Linked DNA regions of Saccharomyces cerevisiae S288C. Each later gene encodes a partner of the first gene's protein in a complex. Each region holds a gene or a part of one and is shown in the gene's direction. Other genes may lie near its edges. The genes, in order: EPO1 and BEM3.

Region 1 (8,920 bases):
AGGAGTCAATTCATTTCTGGGCACATCAGGGTACACACATTGTAGGGTAGGATCTTCTTTATAAATGATAAGTTGACTTCTGCAATGACTTAGTTGGCATGATTAATATTGTTCGTTCCGCTAAGGAAAAAAGAGTCAAAAACTGCAAATTCAAATTGCGTATGCTGCCAAAGAGCGAAGAATAATAAAAAAAAAATAAGTCGAAGAAAAGGAACGATGAAGTAATCAGGTTGAAAAAATGTTCATAGTGCATTATTATTGATCTATATACGGTTCTAACTATTTCATTTTCTATACCTCCATAACGACAGAGTATTTTGTCTTTTCCAGGTCTTTCTTCTGCCGGCCTTGGTGTTGTTGAATTTGTGTCCCTTGTTGATACCCCTGGATTTCTTACCGGTGGCAGTCAAGCCTCTAGCTTCACGATGCTTATGGACGGGATTGCAGATCCAGTTGTACCGAGCATCTCTTCTGATAGCCTTGTGTTGAGGATCAACCAATATAACTTCGAAGTACTTGTAAGTAGAGTCTTGGTTGACCCAGTAGGAGTTCAAGACTCTCAAGTTAGCAGCACGACGGCCAACTCTTTCTTCAGCGGTAGCTCTCAAGGATCTTTGGTATTTCAATTCATTGACACCTTGGTTAGTTGGCTTACCGTAAGTAGCACCCTTTGGAACAGGTCTCTTTCTGTTACCGCGTCTAACCCTGACACGGTAGATAACGAAACCTTGCTTGGCTTTGTAGCCTAGTCTCCTAGCCTTGTCTGGTCTAGTTGGTCTAGCGGCTCTGTGAATGACATTTTTTTGTCTGTATTCCCAGACCCTGACTCTTTGCAAGAATCTCAAAACATCAGATTGCTTCTTTCTTTCTAATTCTTCTAAATATTTGTAGGCTCCCATTGCTTGTGTGGTAGGTAATTTGTGACTGTCTTTACGGTAGCTTTCGCCGATTACTATTGCCGCTAACTTCTCAAGAGTGAATGAAATTATCAATGGCTCCGGTTAATTGAAAACGTGGAAAAGTATCGAAAGGAACAAGAAAGATGTTTTCCGGGTAACGACATATGGAGCATCAAGACAGATACATCTCTACTGACTACATGTTTGTATCATCATTTGAAGAGATTGGAGAAGTATTCTAGCAATCGGTGCAAAAAATAAGAGTAAAGAAAAAAGACGTTTGTTTCCTTAAAGGAGCTGGAGGAGCCTGTTTTGGATAGCGGCGTAGTCGCTTTATTAATTTGGTTATACTTTAAACGCAAAGATGGCAGTACGAAACCAGCAATGCAGTGATTATATATTCCCTACTAAGGAAAGTTGCGCATCCAATGGGAAACATTTTCCTGATCTGTACCTTTGGCAACCTGAATATGCGGTTGGCTGGCAAATAAGGTAGCGTGGAGGCGGTGTTTTTGCCACAAACCAGTACGCCCAATCTATCCCTGCGAGCCACCGTAATGATGCAAATTGCAGTAAAGCAGCGCTTAGCCTCCAGCCGAAATTTACTTCCGTCGAATGCACGTTGGCCAGAATGTCTCTCGTCCCCCTTGTGCTGCGCAAATAACAACGCGTTGGTGCGTTCTGGAACGCGAAGATTGCGAAACACGCCTCCGAACTGACGTAGCATAGAGTCTTTCACAGTATTGCCTAATGCGGAAATCACATTGCCATATTGGTGAAAAATACAATGGCTAGTTTGATCTATTTTTGGGTTATGGTGTCTCGAGCGTAAAAAGTGAAAAAAAAGTATATAAACGATCTGAATTTAAGGCAGAATTCTGTTTGCCGCTCTCAGAATGTACTGTTAATTACTGAGGTCTCCATCAAACACAAACCCCAACCTAATCGCAAATAACCTGAATAAAAATGGCCAGCAGTACTTCCACTTCCGCTTCCGCTTCCTCCTCCATCAAAACTAACAGTGCCTTAGTTTCCAACAATGTCGTTGCCGCCTCTTCCGTCTCTGCTACTTCTACTGCTAGTTCCAGTGCCGCTAAGAACACTACTTCCAGTTCAAAGAACGCTGCTCCAGGCATGGTTGCAAACCCTGTTTCCTCGAAGTACGGTATCATCATGGCCGCATTTGCTGCTGTTTCTTTCGTCCTAGGCACCGGTATTTAAGAAGTTTCTAAAAGCCTTTTTTTTTCCTTCTGCTTATTGTACTATCAAAGGGAACGATTGATTAACAGAAAAATTACATAAAAATCATATCATAATGGACTCGCGGTTGACGCCTAGTTAAACCAATGAAGAGGTGGGCGAACTTGTGGGAGTTATATATATTTAGGCCAATTGGGCCATTGCATGTTTCCTATAATATATTTTAATATAAAAATTTATTTATTAATACAGCAACTCATTAGATTAATCGAGTGGTGGTAAGGCTTTTTTTGCTCGCAATGCGAGCACGTGACAGAAAGTGAGAATGAACGTCTGACATTGCTAGTGTCACGTTCAGAAAACGAGAAGACGGGTAAAACAAAAATATTGATGATTGTTGGTTAGCAATATCAAATTCATTGAAGGAGGTCACAACCGCGAGAGAAAGTAAGATGTCATGTTTTTGAATATGAACCTGGAGCTCGCATATAACTCTTTCCAGTGGCACCTTTAGATTTATTTTAACTCTGAAATGTAGGTTTTTTTTTTTTTAGACAAGTCACGATAAGTAGTTGTTGTTAGCGACTTTATTCACAGCATTTTTTTATGTAGCATTTGTAGAAATAGGGGAATTATATCGGAGTACTCAAGAAACTAACGGGCTTCTGAGTAAAGGGGCTTCCCGATGTAATGGCATCCAAGGTACTTATCTAACTGATTTTTGATTGGAAGAAACATTTAGAATGCAACCTCAATTGTGGGCAATTACGACCAATGACAGCCAAATCCAGTAAGGTTTCAAAGGGATAATTTACTGAGAAAACAGATTTACTATTCTGGAGGCAGGAGTGATATATTCTTATTCTTCCTATCCATGGGAATAACGATGCACTTTTTTATGGGTAAGGTGTGCTCCCAGTTTTTCTTACCAAGAAGTGTGCAATTGGTACGGTAATATCGTATTTGTTTGCACTGATGTACCCACGCTTTAGCCATTTAAGTTATTACGAATCTACTCTGTCTATTTTTTTTTTACCAACTCCCTACCCAGAGGGAAAATGCGTATGCAATCTAAAATACTTTATTTCCCATTCCGTGCCTTAGGCAAACACAAATGGATTTTGGCTGCATACCGAGGGGTCTAGGTGGTGATGAGGTCGCTACAACCCAGGATGGTTATCTCGTTTCTTCGAATTTCCGCAGCAAAGAGGACCCTTATTGCAGGGATGGAACCTTTTCTGCACAAAGCAAAATCCTCAGGATGTTTCTCTCCTCTGTCTTTCTTTGCCGAGCTCCATCGTGCTAGCGCATCGGACAGGAAGCAGTGAAATACAAGAAAAGTATACAAGCAGTATTCCTGCTCAAGAACCCAGTTTTCAGTTATAGTTTCCACTCCTTTCAATAGATGGGAAACTATATATCCATTAACTAAAATGGCCAGTCAGACTATCTCTTCTCCTCACTAGTGCCTAATCTCTGGTGTCGCCACTCCTGCTGCTGCTAATTATAAGGGCAAAGTCAGACCATCACTTACATTGAGGTGAATATTAAAACCAGTGAAGGTTCTGTTTTTCTCGGGAGTATTTCCGGCAGTAACACCGTTACTTATACCAAAGAGAATTTTTCTGTTGGTATGATTACTGACCCTGTCTGCTCGAAGCACGGTATCATCATTTACCGTTGTTTCTTTCGTCCTAGATATCGGTGTCTCAGAAACTCCAATTGAAGATGTACAGGTGATTAATTACGTCTTTTTATCAATCTATTTACCTATATATTTCAATTTTGATTTTTATTTGGCGAGTGACATGTGAAAACTTTGCCTATGAACCTGAATAGCGCATTCATATTTTAAGAACATGGTAGGGTATAGCAGATGTTCTTTAATTTTCTTTGACTGCGTTTACCCGGCGTTTTTTGCTTGACTGAAAATCAAATGAAGAAAAATAGAGATGGTCTTTTCTTTTTGTCATATCCAAGAACACGTCCATCTAATTGATTAGTGCCAAAAATCGCAGGGATATAACTTCGAAAATTTCTCAAAATGGCCAATTTTTTTGTTAGACTGTGGGAAAGTGTATTTGAACCAGGGACCTCCCCCCAGCTGATCATCGCCACACACGTATCTTTTGTTGCACTACTACTGACCCTCATCTGGCTCATCTATGCCACAAACGGGAATATCCACTTCTATGCTCTTTTCTGTATATCACTTTTACTATGGATTACCGTTATCTGGTTTATAAACGAATTATCACACGTCAAATTGAAGGATAATGATGAGCTGGATAAAGATGCCAATAAAAAGGACGACAGTGCCATCAAGGAAGACAGCGAAGACAAGCAAGAAAGCGGGAAATCCACTAGTACTGCCAGACGGACTCAAGCACAATCTAGGTCAAGAAAAGCATAGACAGATACATAATTGACTACATAATTATCTCTGTTATTAGTATATCACAGAGCTTCCGGGTAAATGTCCGCAATTGTAAATTTTTTTGTCCGCTTCAGGGTCTCCCCTGATATTTTTTTTTTTTCAAAAATTCCTTTTTTTTAAATCAAATTTTGGGCTCAATTATGGACAAATGAAGCACATGCAAAGAGTTAACGCGTGCGACTGAATAGAACAACTCTTTCAGCATCGCAAACCCTTCAAATTGTGAATAAATAGGCATTTCAAGTAACTGTGTCAGCAGCACATTGCATAGGAATTCTGATTTTTTGTTTTAGTGACTGCCCTCCTAATTTTTTTTTTTTTAGTTTACGGCTATAGCTAAATTTGGAGCTTTCTTTCATTAATTTTCACCGAGCTATTAATAACCCTACAAAAAGAGCAGAGAGGTACAGCCTGATCCGATAAAGCAGTGGGATAAAAAGTACTCAAAGACTATTTATAAAAAGTTCAAAATGGATGCAGGTTTATCGACCATGGCAACAAGAAACGGTCAGTCTTCTGCTAGAGTTAAATTGAGAAATAACCTCTTGAATAATGATATAGGAAATATTGACATTAGGGATGAAACACCTATTTCAAGGAACGGGAATGACAGCAATATTAACATCCAGCCTTCTTCCGTGCCGCAGCAGCAGCAGCAGCAGCAGCAATACTACCGTAATGGCATGAATGAGGCTCCAATACAAGCGCCACTTCAACAACGTCAAATTCCCATGCAGAATTATTCACAACAGCAACGCCAGCAACAACAGTATAATTTTGAGTATTCCAATCCACATATGAATGAGATTCCCCTCATGCAGCATAACTTCACCAAACCATCACTAAGCAATAATCGCGATAATGTTAATGGTAAGAAAGCTTCCTCATTTACCCAGAGCTCATTTTCCAATTTTTTCAAACATAAGCATCAATTTGGGAAGTCAAAGAAAAACACTAAGGGGACAGGAGGTGGTGGAGATGGTGATGATGACGATGAGGTTATCTTGGATGATTCTGCAAACTCCGACCTAACATTCAATGACATTCAGACCTTCGGTCACAAGGGCGGTGACAAATATGGATATGGTGGTGATTCCACTCCTATCATTCCAACATTGGTGACTAAAGACCGCGGCAATATGAGTAATACTGAGTATAGGAAGTACATTACTAATCAAAGGAAAACCGCAATGAATGCCATGGCTAAACAAACTAAAAATGGTACATTAGCCTCGTTGCCTCCGAGAGCAATGTCTTTGCAAAGTTTCCCGAATGGTAATCCTTTAATGCAAGCACCCACTCCTCATCCTAGATTTCAACCGAATAAAATGGTGAGCGCTAATTATTCGAGATCAAATTCGTTGATGAGTGGACCTCCCGGACAATTTCGACAGCCGCAGCAACAAAGAATGCTACCGATGAACAACTACAACAATCACCCAGGTCAATTCCAGAATACCCCACCAGTAATGCCCTCTGGACAACAGCCACCTCAGCAACCACGTACTCTGTCATTAACTAATGGCCCAAGATATTCACCCCAAAATCCTCGGCCATTCGCAGGTCATCAGCAGATATCACAAAGACAACAACAACAACAACAACAACTTCAACTTCATCCAATGTCTGAAGGCTATCGGACAATGTCTCTACAAAGTCAGAACGTTCCCCAAGGGTTTAATCCATGGTCACCAAATGACAACGATCGTAAAGCTGTGTCCATGAAACAGCCAATCAGTCAATCGTCAATTTCCTCAAAGAATAATTCAGCTTATTCAATACCGAACGTACAAAACAACTCCCTGACTACATTCTCTCCGTCATCTCCTACTGATGCTACAGCAATGCCTAACTCTACAAAACAAGGATCTTCACCACTAAAAAAACAAGTGAACATTGATCAACCTATTGAAAACAAGGGAAAACTGAATGTTTTGCAATTATCCACTCCTCAACAAAACGAGTTAAAGGAAAAAGAAAGGAAGCTAGCTGAAATGGAAAAATCTTTACGTGAGAGAGAAGCACTAGTAGAAGAAAAAGAAAAGGAAAGAGCTGAGAAAAATACTGAAGCAAATGAAGAGGAGGAAATTTCACATGAATCAGACGATTTAAATTTAAGACCTGCGAGTGCGCTAGAGACTGGTTTAAAAGATCTTAAATTGGAAAGTGAAAGTGCAGTCGCCAATAGAGCGTCCTTGTCGACTTTCTCATCCACATTTAGTGATTCTCCCTCCAAGCAAAGAATCATCAATACCAGAACAGGTATGTATAAGCTAGAAAACTCTACTGATATCAATGAATACGTGACCGCACAAGAATTCCCCTCTCCCGGAAAGTATAACTCAAATTCGGATAATGGCGAAATGAATACAACGAACGAGGTCGATTTTGATTTCAATACTAGTAAAAGGGCTTCTTTGTTACAATCCATACCGGAAAGAGATCCCAAAAGAAATGTCTCAGATGCTACCATTAAGCGACGTGAATCCGATGGCAATGGCAGGAGACTAAGTAATGTCAACATATCCATGAACCAGGAAAACATCAACAATGATACTTTTCTATATAAAAAAAATAATCGCGATGGTCATTTATCAGCAGTTTCTCATATGTCCAGCTCTTCCCGTAGATCGTTCATCTCCAATACGCTGCCGTTGAATATTGATTCCGCCTCAGAATCTGATAATTTTGTACCGCATATGGATGGTTCACCCTCCAAAACAAAATCAGCCCCAGTTAGCTACGATAAGGATGGCATGAATGCTTCAGAAGAAGACTTCAGTTTTGATAATACTTTAGCCAAACCGTATGAACCGTTATATGCTAGGAGAGGAGACATAACTTCCGCCGGATCAACTAGTGGAGAAGATAGCTCTCAGCCAAAGATGATAACAATATCTGGTGAGCAATTGAATTTGATAACAGAAAACAAAGAATTAATGAATGAGTTGACACTGGTGTCTACAGAATTAGCAGAATCGATAAAAAGGGAAACTGAATTAGAAGAAAGAATACGGCTGTATGAAACCAATAATTCAGCACCATCTTTTGACGATTCTTCGAGTGTGTCTTTTTCTGACTTTGAAAAGGAACTGAGAAAAAAATCCAGTAAAATTGTGCAATTGATCCAGCAATTAAATGACGAGAGATTAAAGAGATTCATTGCGGAGGAGCAGTTATTACTCCAAGAAAATGGCACCAAACCAAGTTCTATGGAACTAGTAGGAAGAATTGAAAACTTGAATAAACTTATTGATGAGAGAGATTCAGAAATTGAAATGCTTAAAGGACGTTTACAGTAGATGAATGATGTATTTTATTGTATATATCGCTTAGTGCACCAAAATCATACTACGTAAGTATAAAATCACTTTACACGTAGAAGATGCTTTTTCAGATTGTTCTTGAAAAAGTTGAAAAAAATATAATTCACACTCAGCAACAGGTGAAAGTGTATAATGGGTAAAAAAGGAAGGACAGAAGGTATATTGCTAATCAAAACGACTTTGGTATACGCGTTTGGGGCTACAATTGCATTTTAAATATATTTAAGATGTTTAATAGAAAAAGAAGAGGAGGTATGTTTTAAAACCAATGTTTTCCAGAAGTTTCGTTCTAGAGTGTGTATATCAAGACCAATTAGGATGGTATTTCCATTTTTTGTCAGTTAGTACGGTGTGACAGAAAAGTGTACTTTTGTGGCACAGAGAAGTGGAGAAACGGTACACGTAGAATACATAACGGCAAGTAACCTCTCTTATTTTACTCTCCATCTTTACTTTGTTTTACATTCCTAGGATTATTAGGTTAGCTTGGTTTTACAAAAACTCAATTATTCAGTTTCATTCAAATTACTAACATACCCAACTTTGACTACCTTGCATATGATTTTACCGTTAGACTTCGATGAAGATGAAAATTACCGTGATTTTAGGCCTCGCATGCCTAAAAGACAGAGAATCCCACCTGTTGTACAACTGTGTAAAGAAATGATGCCCGATATTCGCACTATTGGTGAATCTGTTAAAGCTTTTGAAGATGATATCAAATTCTTGAGTGAAGCTATAATGAATGAGTATGGCCATGAGGACTACTTTAATAATGCTTTACTGAGCACTTTAAACGCTGTTGTTGTGGAGCAACCACAGAAGCAAGCTGCTATCGCTCTCTTAACCATGGTTGTTAATTCGAAAAATAATGTTGCCGGAAAGAGTATTATCAATTACTTCTTCGAAGAATTACAAAAATGGTGCAAGCAAACATATAATGATGAATTCAAGAGTACGTCAAATGAAACTGGGCCATGGAACAAGATCAAGTTAATCCTGAGATTTTTATCCATTCTATCGCCCATGTTTTTAGTTGATGAACTAATCAATATCTA
Region 2 (8,920 bases), on another chromosome or scaffold:
AATTGGGCCTCGTCCATTGAGGGCTCTAATTCCGTAGACCAGCCCAAATCCTCTATGCTTGTTTGCAGACCATGCTTAAGCATGTATTTAGGGCCCTTCTCGACACCAAGCTTACCCTGACCGCCGCTGAATGGAGCCAGAACGATGGACAATTCGCGATTTTTGTAGTAGTTGTAATGAGGTCCTGTTTCCATCTTGATAGTAGTTATTGTTATTGATATAGTTGTTGTTGTTGTTTCTGCTAACTTTGAGAAAACATATACAGACCAAGAGAAGAGAAACAGTCTTAGATCTTGATAGAAAGTGGGCCGCAAGCTCTGCTTATATACTCTTTAGACCCCTCGGCGGCTACCGCTAAGTGAAAAATTCAGCGAGCGGCGATGCGCTGTTGATTGCCATTAGCAGCACGGTGCTTTGCGAAGGGCAAGAGCTAGAGACTATTCGCACTAGCCGATATTTTCGCGGCGTCTCGGCTTCTTGTAAGGGATAGAAAAAAACTGTTAATGGAAGGAGCAATCAAAGGGCGGGGATCGCGGGCGACGGTGCGGCATCGAAAAAGTGAAGAACCAGTAAAAATAGAGGTGGGGTTTATCAGTGTTGATATCTAAGTTTATGATAAACATTGATGAGTCAGGGATTGCACCCGTAGTTCATCCGTATGATGTGATGTTGTTTGTTTTTGTTTCATGTAAGGTTGCTAGAATAGGGTCCTGTCAGACAGTATGCGTAGCTTTACCATCATTTCGCCGCTATATGTGAAGGGCCGTAAATTGGATATACGGTATGTAAAAATCAGCGGAATATTATGATGAGAAGTGAGAAAATTGAAGTCAGTAATCTTGGATATTCAGAACTGTCAATCCTCAGTTTGGCCAATTTTATTTAATTTGTTAATAGCAGAACTTACCGGGCGGTCCAGTTTTGCCTACACGGTTTGGTATAAAGTTTAAAAAGCATATATACGAGCTAGATGAAGTATCCAATAGAGTTTTTCTCACGATGGTATTGGAATAGCTTCCTTGAAAGGTAACTACATACAGTGTCGAGGAAAAATAGACAATTACTTAAAGGAGTAAATGTTACTATACCTGAAAGAAATTAAGAGTCGCCATGCGTAGCAGTAATCACAACCGACATCGGGGAAGAGTGAGGGGAGCAAATTGGATGTAAATATTTTGGTGAATTTGCTCGGTACGCGCTAAACTCACATGATTTAGCAGCGCCGTGGCGCAGTGGAAGCGCGCAGGGCTCATAACCCTGATGTCCTCGGATCGAAACCGAGCGGCGCTAAATTTATTTTTTTCTTTTTACTCTTCATTTTTTTTCCAGGTCGGTGATAGTATATGAAATTCCGGTGGGATTGGGCTTATTATTTCAGGTTATATAATTTTTGAAATACGTTTTTCTTCTTTCTTCTCAGAATCATCGGTAATTTGTATGCTGGAGAAAGTAACAAATAGAGTCGATATCCTCAACTTCCCTGTAAGTCTTCACCTATAGAAACTGGTCGTAAAACAATGAGTCAGTTTGGCACGACAGATATCGTTTCCGGTTCAGAAACACCACCTTATTCTGGGGCAAGTTACCAGGACGCCCAGGATGACAATACCCATCCACATTCATCAGACGCCGGTGCAGAGAAGTTCAGTGCAGGCAGTGGAAGCGAGTCGCATACTGAATCCTCGAGAAGTGATGATGAGGATTCTCAAGCAAAAACAAAGATGGTGGATAATATTACCATCTTAAAATATATATTGGATTCTCTATCTGGTAGAGACAAATTAGCCAAAATTATCAAATACGCTCTGGATATATTAAAACTGTTTATCGAAAAGTCTAAGCGAAATTTAACTGTTTTGGACCCTTCCGTATTAACGTACTATACCAAGATTTTGAAAAATCTGACTGTAAAAGTCGCACTAAGGCATCCAATCACGGTAATTAAAGTACTTCTCCTGTCTCTTTTGAGAAATTTTGACAAGAAAATTGATTTTATCAGTCAACAATTAAGTACTTTTAGATATATTTTAAGGTTTGGCGGCACACCATTCCGAGTGTGCAGTTTCTTGGGGAAATTCAATAAAACCAGAAAGTGCAACTTTCAAATTGACCAAATTAAGAAAATATGGTTTAATGAAGCTTCATTGAGAGAATTTTTGGACTTGTATTATGGTATCTTTGATGAATTAGACTTGCTATACAAATTGAAAATATGGACAAATAAATCATTCTATTCCTTTGTCAGTAGACAAGAGTCTCTTGCATGGCAATACGACATTCTTTTAAGCTTGAAGGACCATTGGCTCAACCTGCAAAGCTTACAGAAGAGACAATTAGAATTGGAAGTGCAACTAAAAGTTCAAAATAACGCGTTACTACTCTCACCCATACTGATGCATCAGGCCCATAAAGACGATGGCTCACAATCGCCAATTAGGAAACAGTTGTTAAATGACCTAAATGTTAATAACGACGCAGAGGTGTTAATACACAAACAACTAAAGGCCATCAAGGATGAAAAGACACTTGTTTATTTAGATATTGCAAGATTATCGTTTGATTGCATGGCTAATACATCAGATATTCTAAATTTAAAAACTCCAAAGGGAACGTATGCCGTTCTGTCCCTGGGATCCGGCTTAACTGGACTGGTTAAACTTTGGATAACAACAAAGAGGTCACTTTGCTCTTCAAAAGATTGATATATAAAAATATGTATACATATAGATATGTACATATATATGTGGCGAATAATGTTTTACCTCTGCATTTGTATTGTTATTTGATTCGTTGAATAAGATAGTTTGGCGCTCGGTTTTTGCTCTTTTTCTTCCGTTTTTATGTCATTGGGGTGGCGGTAGTCATTCCGTTTTACGGTATGTTTATTCTGACACTTTGACGCAGATCTAAAAGGTGGAGTGTGGAGTACAAATAGCTCTCTCTCAAATACAGAAAAATACTTGAGTGTACAAAAGTAGCAACCTTTAAATAACAATGATTACTTCAATTGACATAGCAGATGTAACTTATTCTGCCAAACCAAGAATTTTGGTGCCTTATAAAACCCAATGGGAAGTCGCCAGTCATCTTCCTGAATATCGCAAACTGGCAGAAAGGGTAGAATTCTATAAATATGAGATGTCCACAAAGGATGATTTTGTTAAATTTTTGGAAACTCATAGAATAAACGGCTTTTGGCTCACTGAGGAGTTTTTCACTGTGTTAGGAAACCCTTCGAGTTATATTGAATTCTTCCCCGCATCTTTAAAAGTAATCCTTGTACCATGGGTCGGCTGTGACTTTATTGACGGTAAGTTATTAAGATCGAAAGGTATCACTTTATGCAACATTGGACCACATGCTGCTGACCATGTCACAGAATTGGCTATTTTCCTAGCAATTAGCTGCTTTAGAATGACTTCATTTTGGGAATATTGTTTTAAATACGTGGAAAATGGTAATGTTGAACAGTGTAAGAAATATATCTCTAGTGACTCGTATGAAATTGTTACAGATAGTTACCACGGTCAGGAAATGAAATTTCCCTCTCGAACAGACAAATGCAAGCCTAACAAGGATAGGAAAGTGGTACATTTAGCAGAAAAGTACACGGTTGGCGGGAAAAAAATGGAATCTCCAATGAATAAAAAAGTTCTAATATTGGGGTTTGGCTCCATCGGACAAAATATAGGGTCTAACTTGCACAAAGTGTTCAACATGAGCATTGAATACTACAAAAGGACCGGTCCCGTCCAAAAGAGTCTACTTGATTACAACGCTAAGTACCATTCTGATCTAGATGATCCAAATACTTGGAAGAATGCGGATTTGATCATTTTGGCCTTGCCCAGTACGGCCTCTACAAACAATATTATCAATCGTAAAAGTTTGGCCTGGTGTAAAGATGGTGTCAGGATAGTTAACGTTGGGAGAGGCACATGCATAGATGAAGATGTGCTACTAGACGCTCTTGAATCTGGAAAAGTGGCAAGCTGTGGTCTCGATGTGTTTAAAAATGAGGAAACACGCGTTAAGCAAGAGTTACTTCGCAGATGGGATGTTACAGCTTTGCCACATATCGGCAGCACAGTTGCCGACATGGTCATAAAGCAGACACTCATCACACTCGAGAATGTGCAGGACATATTTGTCGAGGGAGGTGATGGTAAGTATGTGCTCAACTGAACCATTCATTATGTTACAAAGATAGCATTTCAATTAGGATTACATACGTATATGCATTGCTCTTTATACCACAACTCTAAGAATGTCGAAAGTTATATGGCGGCGGTGATGTTGGAAAAAAAACGCGGCCGTTTTATAAAGAACAATAATCGTCTGACTAGGTAAAGTACCAGATAAGAACCGTTTTTATTGCGCGTATTGGTATGTTTTTTAAACGGAATTTTTCAAGATTGTTAAATACATCAACGATATATCCATTTTAATCACCGTTTACCTTTGTGTGTTAGCTTTGTATCTGGAAGTTTTTTCTCTTTTCTTCTTTGTCCTTGCCTTCTACCATTTTGCCTTTTGTTCGAGTTCGTGATTACATCAGGCATATACAACATCACGTTTGTTGAAACACTGGCTGCTAGGAGTATCTGTGTGTATATTCTAGAATAAACTCACACTCAACTAACAGCACGCAATGACAGATAATTTGACCACAACTCATGGTGGTAGTACCACCCTTGAATTGTTGGCGCAGTACAATGATCATAGATCCAAAAAGGACAAATCTATAGAACATATAGAAAAAGGAACATGTTCAGGAAAAGAAAGAAATCCGTCCTATGATGAAATTTTTACGGAAAACATTAAGCTAAAGCTACAAGTCCAAGAATATGAAACTGAAATTGAGAGTTTGGAAAAGGTTATTGATATGTTACAAAAAAACAGAGAAGCTTCCTTAGAAGTTGTGCTTGAGCAAGTTCAAAATGACTCAAGAGATTCATACGTTAACGATCAATCATTTGTGTTACCCCCAAGATCTGCTGAAAGGAAAGCGCATATCAAGAGTCTTAATTTGCCAATACCGACATTGTCCCCTCCATTGCAACAAGGTTCAGACGTTGCACTTGAAACAAGTGTAACGCCTACAGTACCTCAAATAGGTGTTACATCAAATACTTCAATAAGTAGGAAGCATTTACAGAACATGATACTAAACGATGAAATAGAAGCAAATAGTAGCTTCTCATCTCCCAAAATTATCAATAGATCTGTCTCAAGCCCTACAAAAATACATTCAGAACAGTTGGCTAGCCCAGCTGCCTCTGTTACCTATACGACGTCTAGGATAACCATAAAATCACCTAATAAAGGTTCGAAATCTCCATTGCAAGAACGTTTGCGTTCCCCTCAAAATCCTAACAGAATGACGGCTGTTATCAACAACCATTTGCATTCTCCATTAAAGGCCAGTACCTCTAATAATTTAGATGAGCTGACTGAAAGTAAAAGTCAACAACTAACTAATGACGCGATACAAAAAAATGACCGCGTTTATTCTTCTATAACATCCTCTGCATACACTACTGGAACTCCTACTTCAGCAGCCAAAAGTCCATCATCCCTTTTGGAAGTCAAGGAGGGTGAAAACAAGGCTTTGGGTTTCTCTCCAGCATCTAAAGAAAAACTTGACGACTTCACCCAATTACTTGACTCCTCATTTGGCGAAGAGGATCTAGTCAATACGGACAGTAAAGATCCTCTGTCCATAAAATCCACGATTAACGAATCTTTACCCCCACCTCCAGCGCCTCCAACTTTTTTCTCACCTACTTCTAGTGGAAATATAAAAAACTCTACTCCTTTATCAAGCCATTTGGCTTCTCCGGTTATCTTGAATAAAAAGGATGATAATTTTGGTGCTCAAAGTGCAAAAAATTTAAAGAAACCTGTGTTAACTTCATCACTCCCCAATCTTTCTACAAAATTGTCAACAACAAGTCAAAATGCTTCTCTTCCTCCAAATCCTCCCGTGGAAAGTTCATCAAAACAAAAACAACTTGGAGAAACGGCATCCATCCATTCAACCAATACCTTGAATACATTTAGCTCAACACCCCAAGGTTCGTTGAAGACACTTAGAAGACCTCATGCAAGTAGCGTGAGCACCGTGAAGTCTGTGGCCCAAAGTCTTAAGTCGGATATTCCATTATTCGTTCAACCGGAGGATTTTGGCACTATCCAGATTGAAGTACTGAGCACATTGTACAGGGATAATGAAGATGATTTATCCATTTTAATTGCAATCATAGACAGGAAATCCGGTAAGGAGATGTTTAAATTTTCAAAATCTATTCATAAAGTTCGCGAATTAGATGTATATATGAAATCACATGTTCCCGATTTACCATTGCCCACGTTACCTGATAGACAATTATTTCAGACTTTATCACCTACAAAAGTGGATACGCGAAAGAACATATTGAATCAGTATTATACAAGCATATTCAGTGTCCCTGAATTTCCCAAAAATGTTGGTTTAAAAATCGCCCAATTTATTAGTACAGATACAGTAATGACACCTCCAATGATGGATGATAATGTGAAAGACGGATCACTTTTGCTGAGAAGACCAAAGACTCTAACAGGTAATAGTACATGGAGAGTTCGGTACGGTATTTTGCGCGATGATGTTTTACAATTGTTTGACAAAAATCAGTTGACTGAAACTATTAAATTGAGACAATCTTCTATAGAACTTATACCCAATCTCCCTGAAGATAGATTTGGAACGAGAAATGGGTTTTTGATCACTGAGCATAAGAAAAGCGGACTGTCAACCTCAACAAAGTATTATATTTGTACTGAAACGTCGAAGGAACGTGAATTATGGCTTTCTGCGTTTAGTGATTACATTGATCCTTCACAAAGTTTATCGTTATCTAGCTCGAGGAATGCAAACGATACTGATTCTGCATCTCACTTGAGCGCAGGAACACACCATTCTAAATTTGGAAACGCAACTATCTCAGCAACCGATACTCCATCATATGTCACTGATTTGACCCAAGAATATAATAATAATAACAATATTAGTAATAGTAGCAATAACATTGCTAATAGCGATGGTATTGACTCAAACCCATCTTCTCACTCTAACTTCCTAGCAAGTTCAAGCGGGAATGCAGAGGAGGAGAAGGATAGTAGGAGAGCCAAAATGAGAAGTTTATTCCCTTTTAAAAAATTAACCGGCCCGGCGAGTGCAATGAACCATATAGGTATTACAATTTCAAATGATTCGGATTCTCCAACATCTCCTGACTCTATCATTAAGTCACCAAGCAAAAAATTAATGGAAGTATCCTCTTCGTCAAATTCTTCTACGGGTCCACATGTGTCCACTGCAATATTTGGCTCGTCACTAGAAACGTGTTTAAGATTGAGTTCGCATAAGTACCAAAACGTTTACGATTTACCGAGTGTAGTTTATCGTTGCTTAGAGTATCTTTACAAAAACCGTGGTATCCAGGAAGAAGGCATATTTAGACTAAGCGGGTCCAGTACAGTTATCAAAACTTTACAAGAAAGGTTTGATAAAGAGTACGATGTAGATTTATGTCGGTACAATGAAAGTATTGAAGCTAAAGATGATGAGGCATCTCCAAGTCTTTACATTGGTGTGAATACTGTAAGTGGGTTACTAAAGTTGTACTTGAGAAAGTTGCCCCATTTATTATTTGGTGACGAACAATTTTTGTCGTTTAAAAGAGTAGTTGATGAAAATCATAATAATCCTGTTCAAATATCATTGGGGTTTAAGGAACTTATTGAATCTGGCCTAGTTCCTCACGCTAACCTATCGTTGATGTATGCTCTTTTTGAACTGCTGGTAAGGATCAATGAGAATAGTAAGTTTAATAAGATGAATCTAAGAAATTTATGCATCGTGTTTTCCCCAACTCTAAATATTCCAATTAGTATGCTTCAACCATTCATCACTGACTTTGCGTGTATATTTCAGGGTGGTGAACCAGTTAAAGAAGAGGAAAGGGAGAAAGTAGATATACATATTCCTCAGGTTTGATGGTCTAAAATTGTAGAAATATAACGTTGCCAGTAAACCTCCATTGATTTAATGATAGAAAGAGGGCGAGATGTATAGAGGCTTCTTTCTTTCAACGATATATTTGTAATAATAAAAAAATGTCAGGCTGATAAAGCTTATAGAGTGACTGTCTTTTTATTCCTCAAATGTTATTTACAATACCATATAATAAAATTAGTATATTGTCAAATAAAATAAGAGAAAAAAACTAACTTCTTGACCAAATGGTCGAAGAGCTGAGATAAAGAAGGAAAAAAATTAAAATTACTAACTATACAAGGAAATATAAAAATAGAAAAATTGTGTTACTAAATACAAAAAAGTAATATATGCGTCACTTCTTTAGTGGGTTCAAGACAACATTATATATGCATTGGTATCACCATCTTCCACCACTTCTTGTTGTATGTTTTCTTGAAACATGAGAAATCATTGATATATCACTATCGTCATAAGTTGGTGTATTTGCGTTTTGAGGCTGTCTTATGCGATGCGGTTTCGTATTGGAGGGAATTTTATACATTCCATTACCTTGTAGACGGCGTTGGTGCGAGTTTTTCCAATTTTTTTCTTTTAGCTCATGGTCTGAATCTTCATCACCTTTTTTTTCAATTTCTAAGGTCTCCAAATGTCTAGAAATATCATCAATGGTAATATCCTCCACCGTGCGATTGAAAGTTTTGTTCAATTCTTCATCGTAAACGTATTCTTCATCTTCATCCTCACTGGAAAATTCTTGTTGCAAAAACGGAATTTGGGTTTCAGCTGCTCTATTATTTGACGAGAGCTGCTTGACCTTGGTATCGCTTCTAATTTCCCTTTGTTCCTGTTTTTCCGTGCTTCTCGGCTTGTTTTCATGAA

What was found.
Region 2: the proteins of EPO1 (region 1) and BEM3 are in contact, whole or in part, in a crystal structure (PDB 6LP3), measured with the Saccharomyces cerevisiae proteins. Residues at the interface, in NP_013843.1 of Saccharomyces cerevisiae: Asp870, Lys873, Glu874, Lys877, Lys878, Lys881, Gln884, Leu885, Gln888, Leu889, Glu892, Arg896, Glu900, Leu903, Glu907; in NP_015210.1 of Saccharomyces cerevisiae: Phe53 (codon at 4,808), Thr54 (codon at 4,811), Ile57 (codon at 4,820), Lys58 (codon at 4,823), Leu61 (codon at 4,832), Gln64 (codon at 4,841), Glu65 (codon at 4,844), Thr68 (codon at 4,853), Glu69 (codon at 4,856), Ser72 (codon at 4,865), Leu73 (codon at 4,868), Val76 (codon at 4,877), Met79 (codon at 4,886), Asn83 (codon at 4,898), Ser87 (codon at 4,910), Val90 (codon at 4,919).

What each region holds. Positions count from the first base shown.
Region 1 is NC_001145.3:509,450-518,369, forward strand, and holds EPO1 (Epo1p), read left to right. Parts: upstream 1-5,006; coding exon 5,007-7,838; downstream 7,839-8,920. Other genes in the region: 60S ribosomal protein eL15 RPL15B, read right to left, coding at 285-899; YMR122C (uncharacterized protein), read right to left, coding at 1,252-1,626; NCW1 (Ncw1p), read left to right, coding at 1,866-2,120; PKR1 (Pkr1p), read left to right, coding at 4,144-4,512; STO1 (Sto1p), read left to right, coding at 8,090-8,114, 8,437-8,920.
Region 2 is NC_001148.4:331,218-340,137, reverse strand, and holds BEM3 (GTPase-activating protein BEM3), read left to right. Parts: upstream 1-4,651; coding exon 4,652-8,038; downstream 8,039-8,920. Other genes in the region: CAR1 (arginase), read right to left, coding at 1-194; PEX25 (Pex25p), read left to right, coding at 1,518-2,702; YPL113C (glyoxylate reductase), read left to right, coding at 2,995-4,185; HOS3 (histone deacetylase), read right to left, coding at 8,439-8,920. UniProt on the Saccharomyces cerevisiae protein: GTPase-activating protein (GAP) for CDC42 and less efficiently for RHO1. Negative regulator of the pheromone-response pathway through the STE20 protein kinase.